Linked DNA regions of Arabidopsis thaliana. The protein of the gene in region 2 interacts with the protein of the main gene of each other region in a pairwise test. Each region holds a gene or a part of one and is shown on either strand. Other genes may lie near its edges.

What was found. Proteins that work in one complex are often made in the same cells at the same time.
Region 1: the proteins of ASHH1 (region 2) and EFS interact in a two-hybrid assay, tested with the Arabidopsis thaliana proteins (one study listed by BioGRID).
Region 3: the proteins of ASHH1 (region 2) and ATX1 interact in a two-hybrid assay, tested with the Arabidopsis thaliana proteins (one study listed by BioGRID).

Annotation. Positions count from the first base shown.
Region 1 is NC_003070.9:29,046,186-29,051,064, reverse strand, and holds the start of EFS (histone-lysine N-methyltransferase), read left to right. Parts: upstream 1-1,610; 5' UTR 1,611-1,886; intron 1,887-2,243; 5' UTR 2,244-2,254; coding exon 2,255-4,721; intron 4,722-4,879. UniProt on the Arabidopsis thaliana protein: Histone methyltransferase involved in di and tri-methylation of 'Lys-36' of histone H3 (H3K36me2 and H3K36me3). Binds to H3 already mono- or di-methylated on 'Lys-4'(H3K4me1 or H3K4me2), but not to H3K4me3.
Region 2 is NC_003070.9:28,789,114-28,794,929, reverse strand, and holds ASHH1 (SET domain group 26), read left to right. Parts: upstream 1-2,210; 5' UTR 2,211-2,313; exon of another isoform or gene 2,314-2,504; 5' UTR 2,505-2,558; coding exon 2,559-2,579; intron 2,580-2,656; coding exon 2,657-2,721; intron 2,722-2,815; coding exon 2,816-2,972; intron 2,973-3,132; coding exon 3,133-3,219; intron 3,220-3,411; coding exon 3,412-3,496; intron 3,497-3,584; coding exon 3,585-3,678; intron 3,679-3,767; coding exon 3,768-3,966; intron 3,967-4,073; coding exon 4,074-4,108; intron 4,109-4,226; coding exon 4,227-5,043; 3' UTR 5,044-5,210; downstream 5,211-5,816. Other genes in the region: AT1G76720 (eukaryotic translation initiation factor 2 (eIF-2) family protein), read left to right, coding at 24-337, 429-548, 655-786. UniProt on the Arabidopsis thaliana protein: Histone methyltransferase involved in regulation of flowering time. Required for the expression of the SOC1/AGL20 gene. Required for histone H3 trimethylation on 'Lys-4' (H3K4me3) at the SOC1 locus.
Region 3 is NC_003071.7:13,456,163-13,464,381, reverse strand, and holds the start of ATX1 (homologue of trithorax), read left to right. Parts: upstream 1-1,950; 5' UTR 1,951-2,200; coding exon 2,201-2,784; intron 2,785-2,939; coding exon 2,940-2,991; intron 2,992-3,092; coding exon 3,093-3,167; intron 3,168-3,270; coding exon 3,271-3,490; intron 3,491-3,641; coding exon 3,642-3,768; intron 3,769-3,875; coding exon 3,876-3,980; intron 3,981-4,134; coding exon 4,135-4,334; intron 4,335-4,454; coding exon 4,455-4,547; intron 4,548-4,661; coding exon 4,662-4,759; intron 4,760-4,851; coding exon 4,852-5,010; intron 5,011-5,806; coding exon 5,807-5,950; intron 5,951-6,032; coding exon 6,033-6,080; intron 6,081-6,201; coding exon 6,202-6,319; intron 6,320-6,393; coding exon 6,394-6,459; intron 6,460-6,570; coding exon 6,571-6,632; intron 6,633-6,731; coding exon 6,732-6,788; intron 6,789-6,881; coding exon 6,882-6,950; intron 6,951-7,065; coding exon 7,066-7,249; intron 7,250-7,551; coding exon 7,552-7,797; intron 7,798-7,995; and 4 more.

The sequences.
Region 1 (4,879 bases), 260 kb from region 2:
AGAGACAACAATTTTATTTTGCTTGCCTTGCTTATGTATTTGCCTTAGAATTGTTGCTTTTTGCATTAATATTGTTCTTGAGGAAACTGCGTCGGAATAGGTCAATACCGAGAGACGGCATTACAGTAAGACTACATCAACTCCAAACTACAAGTCTGTTTTGTTGATCATACAAAAGCGAAACAATTAGTTTTAGTGTTCGTATGGTTTGTTCTCATATTTCCAAGATGCATCCAAAAGTGCGTTGAGAGAAGTGAGTGGGACATGGTTATGTGTACAAGTAGATTATAACTTGATTAGTTCAATTCCCGCATCTCATATTTTTGTTCTCAACTCCATTGTTTTTCTCTCTTTTTTTAGCAATGGAATGATGATCCATAGCTTATTGTCATATATCAAAGCATTCCTTGGTTTCCATATTATCAAAACTATGAATTAGGCACAGATTTTATGCATCATGTGTAGCTAGATGATAGCATAAGTTTTTCTCTTAGCTCTTAATTCTCCCTTGGATTATGATATCACCTCCATGGCTCCATATAGACAGACAGTAATGCAAACATCAAAATATAGTAATTATCAACAACTACAACACTATAAGCCTATATAACACCCTTGCAGTTCCACGCTTCCCAGGGATCATGGCGATACTCTTCTGCTCTCTCTTTTATTGTGATGCTTCTTTGATCTCTTATAAAGTCGACATAGTCTCCAACCTCTAAGTTCCGCCGCAACTGCTCATTCATCTTCAATATGGACGGTGTCCGACGACATATATGATATGGATGAGAAGATGAAGTGGATGAGGTGGACAACAAGAAGAAATACTGCGACTTCGTGTATGAATATCCTCCCCTTAGCTTCCACGTTTTTGGCTTCTAATGACAGGGATCATAGCAAGGGTTTGGTCACATTCAAACCGTGACTCAATATCGTTAACAAGACTCTGATTCGGATAAATGCTTGGCTCATCATCATCGCACTTATTTGCATCTTCAACGAGGAGAACACAAGTCAGTTAACCATCGTTGTCTGGAGCTATGAAACTTATTCCCGCTTGCTTGGTCGCGAAAGTCTCCGCCGATGTTATGATTGCGAATGAGTGGGGCTGTGTGAGTCTTATTGTAAAATAATAATACAACTAGCTAGGTTTGGTAGACTAAAGTTATTACATGAACTTTTATTCTGATATACACATACAATATATATTTCTTTTTTCTAATGATAAACCATTATGGAAGAATACTAGCGAGAATCTTATTAGAACGAACGACTAATCAAGTAATCATAGACTAAAGAAGCTAATTAAACGACTAATCATGTCTTTATGGACCACCTTTGGGACCATTTTGATTGAACACAACTCCCCAATAGATCTGAATATCTTGGAAATAAATTGGCAATGTATTTTTAGTAAAAGCTTGTGTGAATTTTCTCTACAAAAAAGTTCTAACTTTTATTGTTTTGACATATGTTTGGGTAAGATTTAAAAAACCTATGACTTTATCGAAAAATATAAATATTTTTTTGTTTGTCAATTAAATTTTCATCGTAATCATTGAGATTAAAATAAAATAAAAAAACTAAGACCCACACAAGTCCAAATCAAACAAATTAGCAACAACAAAAAAATATAAGTTGGGAATAGCAAAATAGTATCGTTTGGGGATTTTACAATTTATTTTACTGAAAAAGAGAAAAAAAAAAAATCGGTATCTCTGAAAAAACTGACCGCCTCGCGTTGTCTCTTCCCTACTTCCTCCGATTCCTTCTCCTCTCTCTATATCTGATATCGTAATCTTCTCCGCCTCTCTAGGGTTTTCTCCGTTACTCGTGCTCCAGTTTTACGTTCGTTGGCATTCGCTCAATCGCTTCTGATTCATGAGGTTAGGGTTTCGTTATTTTCAGGAGGTGACAAGATTTTATTTTATTTTATTTAGTCTCTGTTGCGGCGTGTTTAAAATCAGAAGAGATCGGAGGGTTTTTGTCATCAATGTTGATGATTGAGCCATCCATTGTCTTGTGTTAGGTCTTTGAGTTGACCTTCTTAAGTTTTTTTTTTTTTTTTTTTTGGGGTCTCTGTTTGGTTGATTTTGTAGATCATGTTAATACGGGGCTGGGTTCTATTGAGAATCTGTTAAAGGTCTTTGAACCATTGCATAGTTTGATTTACTAAATAGCTTACTGATTTTTCATTAAAAATCCCTTTTTTTGAGAATGTTATTTGTTTGGCTTTGAATCAGGTAGCATTACGATGGACTGTAAGGAAAACGGTGTTGGTGACGCTTCTGGGTGCAATATTGATGCTAACTCTCTGGCCTCAAATCTTGCGATGAATACCAATGAAGATTTCTATGAGAAATTGAGTTCTCGTGGGCAAAATTTAGATTCAGTCAGTAGTTTGGAGATTCCTCAGACTGCTTCATCTGTAAACCATACGATTGAAGGCCAAAGGAAGTGCTTTACAGAGATTGAGCAGATGGGATACGGGAACAGTAATAGTCAAGAAGATGCTGGAAACACTGATGATGATCTATATGTTTGTTACAATGCTGATGACACTCAGGAGCAGGGAGTGGTTTCAGGTGAGCTTGAACAAAGTCAAGAATTAATTTGTGATACTGATTTACTGGTAAATTGCAACAAGCTGGATGATGGAAAGGAAAGTCAGGACACAAATGTGTCCCTTGTATCCATTTTTTCTGGGAGTATGCAAGAGAAAGAAGCTCCTCAGGCTAAAGAAGATGAAGGTTATGGTGGCACAACATTGCCTATAGGGGGCAGTGGAATAGATACGGAATCAACTTTTGTGAATGATGCACCAGAACAATTCGAGTCTTTGGAAACCACAAAGCACATAAAACCTGATGAAGTTGAAAGTGATGGTATTAGTTATAGGTTTGATGATGGAGGTAAGGAAGGAAGAAATGGACCATCGAGTGATCTAGATACTGGTTCTTCTGATGATATATCTCTCAGTCAGAGTTTTTCGTTTCCAGATTCGTTATTGGACTCTAGTGTATTTGGCTGTAGCGCCACAGAAAGTTATCTGGAGGATGCAATTGATATTGAAGGCAATGGGACTATTGTTGTATCCCCTTCATTAGCTATCACAGAAATGTTAAATAATGATGATGGTGGCCTATGTTCACATGATCTTAACAAGATCACAGTCACAGAGACGATCAATCCAGATTTGAAGTTGGTACGTGAGGATAGGCTTGACACTGATCTTTCCGTGATGAATGAAAAGATGCTAAAAAACCATGTTGGGGATTCATCAAGTGAAAGTGCCGTGGCCGCTTTGAGTATGAATAATGGTATGGCTGCTGATCTGAGAGCTGAAAATTTCAGTCAGAGTTCACCCATAGACGAAAAAACTTTAGATATGGAAGCCAATTCCCCTATTACTGACTCTTCTTTGATATGGAATTTTCCATTGAACTTTGGAAGTGGAGGAATCGAAGTCTGTAATCCTGAAAATGCAGTTGAGCCACTCAGAATAGTAGATGACAATGGCAGAATAGGTGGTGAAGTTGCTTCTGCATCAGGGAGTGATTTTTGTGAAGCTGGCATGTCTTCTTCCCGAAGGAAGGCCCGAGACGGGAAACAATGTAAAGTGGTGCAGACAAAAACGAGTGCTCGCCATCTGAGAAAATCCTCTAGAAAGAAACAATCAGAAAGAGACATTGAGTCAATTTTCAAGTGCTCAAAGCAGAAGAGGAGCTCTCTTTTAAAAACAAGTCGTTCATCTGAGTGGGGATTACCAAGCAAGACCACTGAAATCTTCTTACAGAGCAATAATATTCCCTATGATGGACCTCCGCATCATGAACCACAGAGATCTCAGGGAAATCTTAATAATGGAGAGCATAATAGAAGTTCTCATAACGGGAATGTAGAAGGATCTAACAGAAACATCCAAGCATCAAGTGGCTCTTGCCTTCGTTTGAAAGTTAAATTTGGTAAATCAGGTGGCCAAAATCCTCTGAACATTACAGTCTCTAAGGTCAGTGGTAACTCCTTACCTGGTAATGGTATTGTAAAAGCAGGAACATGTTTAGAATTGCCAGGATCAGCACATTTTGGTGAGGATAAAATGCAAACTGTGGAAACTAAAGAGGACTTGGTAGAGAAAAGCAACCCTGTGGAGAAAGTTTCATATCTTCAGTCATCTGATTCTATGAGGGATAAGAAATATAACCAAGACGCTGGGGGTTTATGTAGGAAGGTGGGTGGTGATGTTTTAGATGATGACCCACACCTTTCCTCTATTAGAATGGTTGAGGAGTGCGAGAGGGCCACTGGAACGCAGTCCCTGGACGCTGAAACTTCACCAGATTCTGAAGTTATCAACTCTGTGCCTGATTCCATTGTCAATATTGAACATAAAGAGGGTCTGCATCATGGTTTTTTTAGCACTCCAGAAGATGTGGTCAAGAAGAACAGAGTATTAGAAAAAGAAGATGAATTGCGTGCTTCAAAATCTCCTTCAGAAAATGGTTCACATCTAATTCCCAATGCAAAAAAAGCTAAACATCCGAAGTCTAAAAGTAATGGAACAAAGAAAGGTAAATCCAAGTTTTCCGAATCTGCCAAAGACGGGAGAAAAAATGAATCACATGAAGGGGTAGAGCAACGCAAATCCCTGAATACCAGTATGGGAAGGGATGATAGTGATTATCCTGAAGTAGGGAGAATAGAGTCTCACAAAACAACAGGTACTACTCTTTTAATTAGCTCTAAGAATTATTGTCCATGTTCAACACCTTTCTTGTTTCCCAAAAATTTGAGGACACTATTTTTTGCTTACGTGAAGTTGAATAGAATCTCAATGTTTTCCATTTCTTTATGATGCTTCCAATCTTTTGAAACATTT
Region 2 (5,816 bases):
TTGGGATAGGGCCTGTGCATAAGAAGGATATAATGAAGGCTGGAGTGATGCTCGAGAAGAAAAGGAATATGCTACAATTTTGGCTTTTGATGTGAAAGTGACTACAGAGGCTCGTGAACTTGCAGACGAAATGGGAGTAAAAATCTTCTGCGCTGATATCATCTATCAGTTATTCAATCAGTTTCAGGTTTACATTGAGAATATCAAAGAGGAGAAAAAGAAGGAATCAGCCGGTGAGGCAGTCTTCCCATGTGTCCTTCAGATTTTACCTAACTGTGTGTTCAATAAGAGAGACCCAATAATCCTTGGAGTTAAGGTCCACGACGGTATACTTAAGGTATCCTATTCTTACTCTGCTATATTCTCGGTAACTTGCTCACATGTCCAAGGATTCTCAATCCTTTTAACATTCGTCTTGTTTGTTTTAGATCGGAACCCCCATTTGCGTCCCGGGCAGAGAGTTCACAGATATTGGCCGCATTGCCTCTATTGAGAACAACCACAAGCCTGTTGACTATGCAGAGAAGGGCGACGAGGTGGCGATTAAGGTAATAAGGGGATCATTCCCTTCAACAACCTTTGTATAGAGAAAGAGAGAGAGAGACAAAAGTTGTTGAGGTTTCAACTTGATGCTTTTCTCTGGTTGTATAACAGATTGTTGCTTCAAATCGCGAAGAACAGAAGATGTTTGGAAGGCATTTTGACATGGAAGATGAGCTTGTGAGTCACATTTCGAGGAGATCTATCGACATACTCAAAGCTGACTACATGGTAAGTCAAGGATAAGATAAGTTGTTTCCCATCTACGTTTTCTTTGACTCATTATTCTGACCCAAAACAAATGCTCGAAATTAAAACCAATAACAATTGCAGAAAGAAATGTCGACAGAGAAATGGAAGCTCCTATTGAAACTGAAGAGAATCTTCAAGATTCCCTGAACAGTCAAATGTCTACTCTAGAGCTTAAAACACTCGCGGGCCTTGTTGTTACGTCGTGTCTGCTGCATAACGAAGGGATTTATCTTCCTGATTCGTTTTTTTAATAACTATATTAGGCTGAAATTTGTAACCCTGTTAATTAATTTAGCCAATATCAAGAAAACTCTTAATAGGTAATACTGAAATTATATAATCTTATTGAAATTCTAAATTCTCATATAAAGCATGTTATTTCGTTAAAGAGAGTTTGTTACAGACTCTGACTTATATAGAGGCCTCTTGAACCCGGTCTACACACTAAACCTTAATTAGGGTTAACTCAACCGAGCTACAATCATCATATACAGTATATTATTAGTATATATCTTCAAATAATAACCGGGAAGAAAATGTGATGCAAAATTTAAATAATGATGACTAAAGTAGCAAGATGAATTGGTGCACACAAAAAGAAAAGTAGCTAGATGATAAAAAAAAAAAGTTATAGCTAAGCCCAGGCTGTGATTTGCTCTACTATTTTCAAATTATACAAAACTGAAAGCAATACAAAATGGAAAGTAAATGAAGTGGAGACTAGTTTTTTTTTGTTCTTGTTTTTTTCCCAATTTAATCATTTTTATTTACTCACTAAATAAGTAATTAAAAATTAAGGAGAGATGGGTTGGTTATATTATTATATAATATCAACAAATATAAGAATATAATGTAGTTTTTATTACTTAAATTATCGAAATTTGTATAATCTTATTAAAAGTTAAATTATTAAAATTAAGGAGAGATGGGTTGGTTATATTATTATATAAAAATTTGTATAATTTTTGAGGAGCAACCATAGTCCAAGACCCCACCAAGGCTAAAATCACTCCGACGGCGATGGCAATAACTCTTTTTTTATCTACTCCTATAGCCATCGTTAGAGCCATCTCCCTTTACTTCATCTAGCCAAATAACTTATTTTGTGTTTTATGATCATATTTTAAAAAGTTGCATGTACCCATTACAATATAAACACCCAAAAAGTGATACTTCTTATAACTCAATAAATGTATCTAACAAAATTAGAACCTCTTTTTTGATATATTTTTTTCAAAAATATTAATTTAGAATCGTGATACAAGATTTAACACAAAATGTAATCAATGAAACGACATATAGTGTGGTCTCATAGATGTTAGTTACATGATATCTACTTTAATTAAGGTCACGATATTATTAACATGATAATTTTTCTTTTCTTTTTAATTAATTTAGCTTTGTCTATTGTTTTTTCCTAATTTTAAAAAGAAAAAGAAAAGTTGGTTGCATTCTTTTCCTAACGCCGTCTATTGTTCTTCGTCCTCGCTCGTCGTCGCGTTCTCTCTCTCAAACTCTCAGGTAAGCTTCTTCAGTTTCCCACTTTCCCTCTTACACCAATATCCAATTTTGTGTGTTTGCAAATAAATATGTGTTAAGTAATGTGGTTTCGTTTCTAGCTGCAAGTTTCTTCCTTTCCAAAGGTTTGTGTCGATCTTAAAATCCCAGAGTTTGATAAACCTAATTCTCTCCTTCCGTTTTTAATTTTGTAGAAACTTGACCTATACTAGGCCCTGAGTCTGATTGCGAGAATCGCTGACAAAAAAATGCAATTTTCTTGTGATCCTGTAAGTGAAATTGGGTGAGATTTCGATTTGGTTTGTTTTGTTTGTGCGAATTTCGCCAATGATGTTTTTGTGTGAAGGATCAAGAAGGAGATGAGCTGCCACAATATGAACACATTTATCAAAATGACTTCTCTTATCGAAAGTAAGATCCTTTCTTTGATTGCTGGCTCGTGGCTTTCGGTTATCTTCTCAGTATGCGTTGTTGTTAAGTACACATTTGTTTAACGCTTCTATAGGCACAAGAAACAAAAGGAAGAAGATATATCTATCTGCGAATGCAAGTTTGATTTCGGAGACCCTGACAGTGCTTGTGGTGAGAGATGCCTCAATGTCATTACCAACACTGAATGTACTCCTGGTTACTGCCCCTGTGGTGTCTATTGCAAGAATCAGGTTAACAACTTGAAATCTTTGCTTCCACGTTTTCATGTAATTCTAGAATCTAAGATTTGCGTTAAAGCTTGGTGATGTTCTTACAAGTTCCTATTCAAACTAATGATAATTGAGTTAAATGAATGTTAATTAGTAGTTTTACATGCTTTGCCGGTTACAGAAGTTCCAAAAATGTGAATACGCCAAAACAAAGTTGATCAAGTGTGAAGGTCGTGGTTGGGGACTAGTGGCTCTTGAAGAGATAAAGGTGAGGACTCAAAATTTATTCTTGTGTCTTTATCATGTCTGATACTCTTTACCAAGATTTATGACAATTTCCGTCACACTTCGTTGATCTAATGCAAATGGGCAAATAACATGGCTGGTGTATTCTTTTTCTTAAGTAAATAGTCAATTGGGTTTGATTAAATGACTGGTTGTATTTGATGCTATGATTTAGGCGGGGCAATTTATAATGGAGTACTGTGGTGAAGTAATATCATGGAAAGAAGCAAAGAAGAGGGCTCAAACTTATGAAACTCATGGTGAGTAGAAACTTTACAGAGATGATGAGAGTGTTGTAATGCTATAGGTGATGTTAGGTGATGTGTTAATTATGTGTTACATGAGCAGGTGTCAAGGATGCATACATTATATCTCTCAATGCATCTGAGGCTATTGATGCCACTAAGAAGGGAAGCCTTGCTAGGTTTATAAATCATTCATGGTAAAACGAACAACTGGCTTTTTACATGCTTCAAAGAAATTCATATCTATAAAACGTTCCTTATCGTTTCTTTCTCTATTTTCCTGCAGTAGACCAAATTGTGAGACGAGGAAGTGGAATGTACTGGGAGAAGTTAGGGTTGGGATCTTTGCAAAAGAGAGCATCTCTCCCCGGACCGAATTGGCTTACGACTATAATTTTGAATGGTACGGTGGTGCCAAAGTGCGTTGTCTCTGTGGTGCGGTTGCATGCTCTGGATTTCTTGGAGCCAAGTCTCGTGGCTTTCAGGCAAGTCCTTACGTTATCATCCTCATAGTATTATTTGTCAAAAATTGGGAGGAATGAAATTAATCATACTGGTCTATACCTAACCTTATACCTTTCTATCATTTCAGGAGGATACATATGTATGGGAGGATGGTGACGATCGGTAATTTTCTTTTCACTTATTTTATGCGGCATAAAAATGGTCATGGATCTTGCGAGAAAGGAATGTTTTTCATCTTGGACTGGCGATATTTTAGCCCCTCTCTTTTCTTTGTCTCCAGGTATTCAGTTGATAAAATTCCAGTCTATGATTCTGCAGAGGACGAGCTTACATCTGAGCCTTCTAAGAATGGCGAGTCCAACACAAATGAAGAGAAAGAGAAAGATATCTCAACAGAGAACCATTTGGAGTCTACTGCTCTGAATATTCAACAGCAATCAGATTCAACTCCAACTCCTATGGAGGAAGATGTCGTCACGGAGACTGTTAAAACCGAAACATCTGAAGACATGAAGCTGCTCTCACAAAATTCACAAGAAGATTCATCGCCAAAGACTGCAATTGTATCACGGGTTCACGGTAACATTTCCAAGATCAAGTCCGAATCTCTTCCGAAGAAAAGAGGCAGGCCGTTTTCAGGCGGAAAAACAAAGAATGTCGCTCAGAAGCATGTTGACATAGCGAATGTGGTTCAGCTACTAGCAACCAAAGAAGCTCAAGATGAAGTTCTCAAATACGAGGTAAAACAGTTTTTCAAGCGTATAGGTACAAATTCAAAACCTTCTCAGTATCAGATGTGTTTGGTAAATTGTTGCTTGCAGGAGGTGAAGAAGGAAGCAGCAGTACGACTCTCGTCATTGTACGACGAGATAAGGCCGGCGATTGAGGAGCATGAAAGAGATAGCCAAGACAGTGTAGCAACAAGTGTGGCGGAGAAATGGATACAAGCAAGCTGTAATAAACTCAAGGCAGAGTTTGATCTTTACTCTAGTGTAATAAAGAACATCGCTTCCACTCCCATCAAACCACAAGACACAAAGACCAAAGTCGCGGAAGCAGGAAACGAAGACCATATTAAACTCTTGGAAGCCAAATGAGAATTAGCTCGGAAGGACACCTCTAATGGACAAAAAAATATCTTAAGAACTGGAAGCTAACTTGGTTTACTTTTCACGTTTGAAAATGTAATAAATATTTTTAAAATGAGAACATTTTGTTGAAATTTAAAATTTTAGTAATCAAATTTTTATTAATCAATTCTACCAAAAAAATAAAAATTAGTAATCAAAATAATTTAATAAAGACATTTTGAATGATAAAAAAAACTTTTTTAGTTAAAATTTTATATTTATGTAAAACATATTGATCGTAGAACATCGCTTAAGGATTTTATACTATGGGGGGATGTTGTGTCCAATTATTTTACACATATTGAATTTAACACTTAAAAACAAAAATATTATGTATATTTTAAAAATTAAAATATTTTGTGTAAAATATTACTTAAAACATATTGAACGTAGAACACCGTATAAGGACTTCATACTATGGACGGGATGTTGTGTCCAATTATTTTACACATATTAAACTTTAACACTTAAAAACAAAATATTATGTATATCTAAAAAGTTAAAATATTTTGTCTAAAATATTACTTTAAAAATAAAAATAAAAACCTTATATTTTAAATAGTTATAAAAATAATATAAATGTTAAAATTTAATATGTGCAAAACATATTGAACCTAGGACACCACTAAAGGACCTCATACTATGGACGGGATGTTGTGTCCAATTATTTTACACATATTAAACTTTAACAATTAAAACCAAAATATTATGTATATTAAAAAAAAAAATATTTGTCTAAA
Region 3 (8,219 bases), on a different chromosome or scaffold from region 2:
ATGATAGGGTTTAAGAGGGACAAGAATGGCGGAGAAGAAGGAGAAGAAGATTTGATTGATAGTTGGCGAGAGTGGAGGAGAGGGACAAATAGAGCTGGACGATTTACAGTATTTAAATCCCTAGGGTTGTTTAACTAACCAAAACCACCCAATTTTGATTCTGATTGACCCGGGTCTTCTTTAGCCGGTTTATTCCGAACCGGGTCTTCTCTTACTAAATGACGTCACTGATTCTCTTACTAATTAAGTTCAGGTGAATTTGAGGGGAAAACAAATATTTTTGGACATGTATGTGTCTGAAAATGTGATTTTCCCTCTTTTTTTTTGATGAATATATAGTTTAAAATAAAAACTAACAAAGACATAAAAAAATGTTTTTCTCCTTTTAATCAAGTATGTATTATTTTATTTGTTCTGGTCATAATCCTAAGTGAGTGTGGTTGGTATTTTGATGAAAATTTAAAATTGTTCATTCCATAATATTTATGTCCAAGTATATATGGACGTAAATCATGTAAGCGATGATGAATCCCAATGTTAGATGACATCAAAGAATTTTGTGACCATAGGCCATATGTGTTGTGTAAATTTTGTGGGTATCTAGAGAAAGCCAACCAACAAACGCTATATGGATACTTTGACAATAAGTTCCATCCATCAGCTGCCAGTTTGTCCAAGTATCAAAATTTCATCCGAAAAGCTGATAAGCCGCCAATCTGCCCCAAGTATCTAGGAAACGACATATTCTAATGCCTAGTTGATGGGAAGAACTTTGGAGGTACACACATCACCTATCTTGAAGCTCATGAAAGCAAGTATTTTAACCTTACTTACTTTTAAATATATATGTCTCTAGCGTGTATAGCATCCCTATGTGGATCAATTTAGAGCACTAGTGAGCATTGTATGCTACCGCATAAGAAAATGCAACTACTGTTAACCATGATGATTACATCCTTATTAACATATATGACACACTGCAAAAGTCACTGGATGCGATCAAGTTAGCAGCGGTATTTTCCATGTGTCAAAAGCATACTAATATACTACAGTCAACCGTATATTGTTCTTTAGTTAAGTTAAGTAAAGACTACTCCTACTAGACAGATATTCGGTTTATGAATCCAAATCAAGTAATTGCTATGAATAGCCGTTCATTTAAGAATGAAGATAAGGGAAGTGAGTTGAAATGTTTCTTTTAACCTCATATCTTTACTTCAACTTATCACACCTTAAAAACTGGATTAGAGTTCCACTTGTCCGATTCATAGAAAAAATCTTGTATCTATCACAAAAATCTTTAACATATGTTTGATTATTTATCCACAAACTAAGCTTTTTAGGTTGAAATATTATATTATTCTAGAAAACTTCAGAACAATCCAAAACAAGTAATACCAAGGGAGCAAATCGTTGGAATTTCCTCACAAGAAAATTCTCTAGCTCATTTGAGAAAATAGGTAGTATTACTTGAAGAACCCCATTCAATAATTGAATTTATGAGCAATTCGGTTGATTTCTACCTTCATTCAAATTCTAGTCAATCTTGTCTTTTTGTTCCAATGGAATTTAATTTGGATTAACCAGAAAAATATGTCTTATACACTATACTTAACAGACTAAAAACCCAAAAATATACGTATGAACTGAAAAAAAACAAAACAAATTCCATGTAGTGAAGATTACACAAAAACTGGTAAACAACAATTATCTGAAAACAAAACTATATAAAAGAATCAGAGACTCTTGTTGAATTTTGCCCAAAAAAAAAAGACTCTTGTTGAAAATAAAATACATGACAACCGGGATTTTTTTTTTCTACAAGTGGAATTTTTATTTATTTTATTTTTAGTTTTATATGTTTTTATTAACCAGATATTAATTTTTATATACATACACACACACACTATATATGAATGTATGTATGCGGAGATATATAAGGAGACAGAGCAATAGATCTGAAAGACTTGTCATCATCTTAATAAACCCGGCGGGAAACGTAAAAAAGCCTTTTAGCTTCTCCCTCCAAAGGATCTGTTTTTTTCCCTTTTTCTCTGATTCTTCTTCCTAAACCCTAATTTCTCCAATCCACGAAATTCCCTAGCAATTTTTTTGGGGGTTTAGTGAAAGAAGGATAGAGAGAGTGAGCAAAGGTGTCTCCTTTACGAAGCCCTGTGCTTTCTCCCTCCGAATAATCTCCATGGCGTGTTTTTCTAACGAAACCCAGATCGAAATTGATGTCCACGATCTAGTGGAAGCTCCGATTCGCTACGATTCTATTGAGAGTATCTACTCTATTCCTTCATCGGCATTGTGCTGTGTTAATGCCGTTGGTTCTCACAGTCTGATGTCTAAGAAGGTTAAGGCCCAGAAGCTTCCGATGATTGAGCAATTCGAGATTGAAGGTAGCGGTGTTAGTGCTAGTGACGATTGTTGTCGTTCGGATGATTATAAGTTGCGGATTCAGCGTCCTGAGATTGTTCGCGTCTACTATCGTCGCCGTAAGAGGCCGCTACGGGAGTGTTTACTAGATCAGGCGGTGGCTGTGAAGACTGAAAGTGTGGAGCTTGATGAAATTGATTGTTTTGAGGAGAAGAAGAGAAGGAAGATTGGTAATTGTGAGTTGGTGAAATCGGGTATGGAGTCGATTGGTTTAAGAAGGTGTAAGGAAAACAATGCGTTTAGTGGGAATAAGCAAAATGGGTCATCCCGAAGGAAGGGGTCTTCTAGCAAGAATCAGGACAAGGCGACTCTGGCTTCTCGTTCAGCTAAGAAATGGGTCAGGTTAGGGTCTACCTATCATCTCTTTAACTGTTGAAATTCATGGACTTTGAAACTGTTGCGCTGTTGTTTTGCACTGATGATTTTCTTAGTTCAGACTTTGAAGACCTTTTATTGTTAGTGGGCAGACTCCTTATGATGGAGTTTTGATGTGGCAGGTTGAGTTATGATGGTGTGGATCCTACAAGTTTCATAGGGCTGCAATGCAAGGCGAGTGTTTTAACTAGACAATTGTCCACTTTAAGCTATTGCATTTTCCACTTTTTTTGTGAATGGGACATCTTAACAATTGGTTGTCGTTTAATCCCTAGGTTTTTTGGCCGCTGGACGCTCTTTGGTATGAAGGTTCCATTGTTGGATATAGTGCAGAGAGAAAGCGTTACACTGTAAGTAATTCTCTACTCTACTTGAGTTATGAGTTGGGTAGTTCTTTGAGCTATGATATATGTAAAAGCTTGTTCCTCTAACCATGATTAAATTCTTCCTTAGGTCAAATATAGGGATGGATGTGATGAGGATATAGTTTTTGATCGTGAAATGATCAAATTTTTGGTTTCTCGTGAAGAGATGGAGCTATTACATCTGAAGTTTTGTACTAGTAATGTGACTGTCGATGGCCGTGATTACGATGAGATGGTTGTATTGGCAGCTACTTTGGACGAATGCCAAGATTTTGAGCCTGGAGACATTGTATGGGCGAAACTAGCTGGTTTGTCTTAAACTGATTTCCACCTTTTATTCATATATTAAAAAAAATACCTCCTTATGCTATCAGCAAGTTGATGCTGTTGGAAGCATGTAGACAAAGAAAACTACCTACTGACTTCCATAGAACTGCATTTGCTTTCCTATTCGGACAGGTCATGCTATGTGGCCAGCAGTTATTGTAGACGAATCCATTATCGGAGAGCGGAAAGGTCTAAACAACAAGGTATCTGGAGGAGGATCACTCTTGGTCCAATTTTTTGGAACTCATGATTTTGCTAGGTTAGTCAGCGTTTCCTATATACTTAAAAAATCTCGTTTTTCTACTGAGATGTTGAGATCAATGTTACACATTATCAAGCTGAAGTTAACATCCTTTGGTTTTATAGAATAAAAGTAAAGCAAGCAATCTCATTTATCAAAGGGCTTCTTTCGCCATCTCACCTGAAGTGCAAACAACCTCGGTTTGAAGAGGGCATGCAGGAAGCAAAAATGCAAGTCCCTCTCGCTTTTCTTTGGCATTCTGCTTTCTTGACTTTCCAGTACATGTTGCATTAACAATTAGACCAATCATTTCTTCATGATGTTTCATTTTGAAACCTGGACATGTTACCTGTCCTGAAATTTCTGTTATTTTGCCTCACTCAGGTATCTGAAGGCACACAGGCTTCCAGAAAGAATGAGTCAACTTCAAAAGGGAGCTGATTCTGTTGATTCCGATATGGCTAATAGTACAGAAGAGGGAAACTCGGGTGGTGATCTTCTTAATGATGGAGAAGTGTGGTTGAGACCAACAGAACATGTAGACTTCCGGCATATAATAGGGGATCTGCTAATAATAAATCTTGGTAAGCCATGAAACTTATATATAAGTATGGTGTATAATCTTTCATTCTATGGTTCATTATTTATAGTTGGTTATAGGAAAACTCCAATGATAATATATAGGCGTATGACTTGTCTTACAGGAAAGGTTGTGACAGACTCTCAGTTTTTCAAGGATGAGAATCATATTTGGCCTGAAGGGTATACGGCGATGAGAAAGTTCACATCACTCACAGGTTATTTGTTAATCAGTTTTTGGCTTTTACTTATAAATCAGGTATTTTTCCATATTTGGTTAATTGTGATTAGTTCTCAATGTGATGTGGGTTGTTGCTTTTGGTTTTAAGCAGATCATAGTGCATCTGCCTTGTACAAGATGGAAGTGCTCAGAGATGCCGAGACAAAGACTCATCCGCTGTTTATAGTGACTGCAGATAGTGGAGAGCAGGTGAGTTAAACATATCTATTAGTATCTGTTTTATTGAACTTTCAGGTCAAGAATCTATCTCTGGCTAACATCGGTAACTAATTTTTTGGCAGTTCAAAGGGCCTACTCCATCGGCCTGCTGGAACAAAATATATAATAGGATAAAAAAGGTCCAGAATTCTGACAGTCCTAATATTTTGGGTGAAGAACTAAATGGATCTGGTACAGACATGTTTGGTCTCTCCAACCCAGAAGTCATTAAACTTGTACAGGTACCTTGTCATTGCATGTAAAATTATTTGTGGTGGTGTGCATGTGTTTTCATGATAATCTGCTTGCACATGCATTTTGGTCTCATAAAAATCATATAATTGTCTGGACACTGAATATTTTGTGGTACCCTTGCTTTTGCTTTATCTCTAAAACGTGTAAGCGGGTCTCATTTATGTTTAATATGAATGTTTGATGCACAAACCAAGTTTTCCTGTAAGACATTTAAGCTTGTGCACTAAATATTTCTATGCAGCTCTTTGCTAATTGGTTTATGGGTAGCCTAATTCGCTATTTCCGGTCTAAAGGCATATTAGAATCACATCTTCATCAATGAGACAACACTAACTTCACCTACGAAATAATCATTTCTGCCTAGTGACTATGGCTTCTTTTCTTTAATTGTTACGGTTTCTTTCTCTTCTGTAAGAAAACTGTATGAATTAAATTAACAGTTATTAATCGAAGCCAGCTTAACAAGTATTTACAGTGAGTTTCTAAGGATAAAATATGTGCATTTGGTCTATTGATTGAAAGAAAATTTGTGTTTAAGTGAAACTAAAGAGTAGAATTCTGTTCTGGAGTCTTTATAGCGAAACTCGTTTTGTAGGACATATTACCTTATATTATTTCATTAGGCAGATACCTATCAAGATGGTTGCTAGAATTTGCAAACTTTTATAATTAATTCCCTATGTACTGCTTGCCGGCGCCCTGTTTTATACAATTGCATTATTGTTTAGCTTCTAGTGTCTACACTTAATATGTGTCTCACCCTAATATACCATTACGTAGCAGGATTTATCAAAATCCAGACCATCGTCCCATGTTTCCATGTGCAAAAATAGTTTGGGAAGGCATCAAAATCAGCCTACTGGTTACCGACCTGTCCGTGTTGACTGGAAAGATCTCGATAAGTGCAATGTCTGCCACATGGATGAGGTAAAGGTTTTTTTTTTGTTTCACATGAGATTTCAAACGTTTCTCTTTAGTTAGTTCTGATTTATATATTTTTTGTCTGCAGGAGTATGAGAACAATTTGTTCCTGCAATGTGATAAATGTAGAATGATGGTATAGCTCATGCTCTGGGCTTTTTTAGCTATCATATACCTCTTAGATGTATATCTTTAGTGCCTTGTGCTCTTTCTTTCTCTTGGGTATGACTCAATTTGAATTCCTGGTCCACTACTAGGTCCATGCTAAATGCTATGGAGAGCTAGAACCCTGTGATGGTGCTTTGTGGTTATGCAACTTATGTCGTCCTGGTGCTCCTGATATGCCTCCACGGTGTTGTCTTTGTCCTGTAGTAGGTAATTTTACCGTACCATTTGGTGTATGGAGTCTATATGTGCTTTCATTAGTGAATAATTGAAACTTCTTTTAGGGGGTGCTATGAAGCCGACAACTGATGGTCGCTGGGCTCATCTGGCTTGTGCTATATGGATCCCAGGTTCAATCTTAACGATTTGTTGTTCTGTATAAGTCTGCTTTCCTACTAATAGGAGGCCGTATTACACTATTACTTTCCTATTTACAAATTAACACTTGTTATTTTATTCAGAAACATGTTTATCTGATGTCAAGAAGATGGAACCTATTGATGGGGTGAATAAAGTCAGCAAGGTACGTACTTATTTTCTTGTTCGGATTCCTTTACCTTGGTACTGTGGCCTTTTCAAAACTCTTATCCCTCTTCCTCTTTTTCTCTACTCTTAAAACTAGGATCGTTGGAAATTAATGTGCACCATCTGCGGGGTATCTTATGGAGCTTGTATCCAAGTAAGATTTCGTTCTATGTTAAGAGAAAACTGAATCATTCTTATGCATTGTTCAAGAGCTGATATATATAATTTTAAAATGACTACATTTCAGTGTTCAAACAATTCTTGTCGCGTGGCATATCATCCACTCTGCGCGCGAGCTGCTGGTCTCTGTGTTGAGGTACCTTAGGGAATAAAAAAAATTTCTTTCCCACTTACACACATGTACTCTAACACAGCAAGTCCACAAAAGAGATGTTTCTAACTGATTATTGCTTTCCTGACTCTCCATGTAGCTTGAGAATGACATGTCAGTGGAGGGTGAAGAAGCAGATCAGTGTATCCGCATGCTTTCATTCTGCAAGCGACATCGACAAACATCAACTGCCTGCCTAGGATCAGAAGACAGGATCAAATCCGCTACTCATAAAACTTCTGAGTATCTCCCACCACCTAATCCATCTGGCTGTGCTCGGACAGGTATGCAGCTACTGCGTTTATCTGTGGATGCTAAGATTAAAATTTAGATTCACACCACACTTTTGGGACAGGATTATTTCATCATTATTCTTTTACCTTGCATACGGCCATGTGTGTTTTGTTCTCTTTCATATTCTTACATATCCTCTTAAGATATCAGTTTCTTACTTTATATACAAGCATTTTTTAGATTTGATACAAAGGTCAAATTTCAGGCTTTTGTGTTTCCATTCTTTTCTACTTTTATTCGTGTTTGCATCCTATGGGTCAGTATAGATGATAATTTCCGTCTATTGTTGCAGAGCCTTATAATTGTTTTGGCAGAAGAGGGCGAAAGGAACCTGAAGCTCTTGCTGCTGCTTCTTCAAAGCGGTTATTTGTTGAGAATCAGCCATATGTTATTGGTGGTTACTCTAGACTTGAGTTTTCAACGTACAAAAGCATTCACGGATCCAAGGTGTCACAGATGAATACTCCAAGCAACATTCTTTCTATGGCTGAGAAATATAGATACATGAGGGAAACATACAGGAAGAGATTAGCATTTGGTAAGCATTCGTTATTCTTTAACTTTCAGTAAATCTTAAAAGATATTACAGGTCTTTTCAACTTCTGCTAAGATAAAAAATATAGTAGGATTTCTGTAGGATAAAAATAATTTGTAGGATTCCTTTCAGAATGATCTAGTCACATCCTAAGCTTCTTTCAGAAAAATCTTATAAAAGTTGGTTCTTTTTTTGTTTCAGGGAAATCAGGAATTCATGGTTTTGGCATTTTTGCAAAGCTTCCTCACAGGGCGGGAGATATGGTGAGCATACTCAACTTGAACTGGACATTTCATCTTTAGAAAGTGTCACTCATGGAAATATTGTATGATTCTTGTGCAGATGATTGAATATACCGGAGAACTTGTTAGACCGTCAATAGCTGACAAAAGAGAACAACTCATCTACAATTCAATGGTGGTACG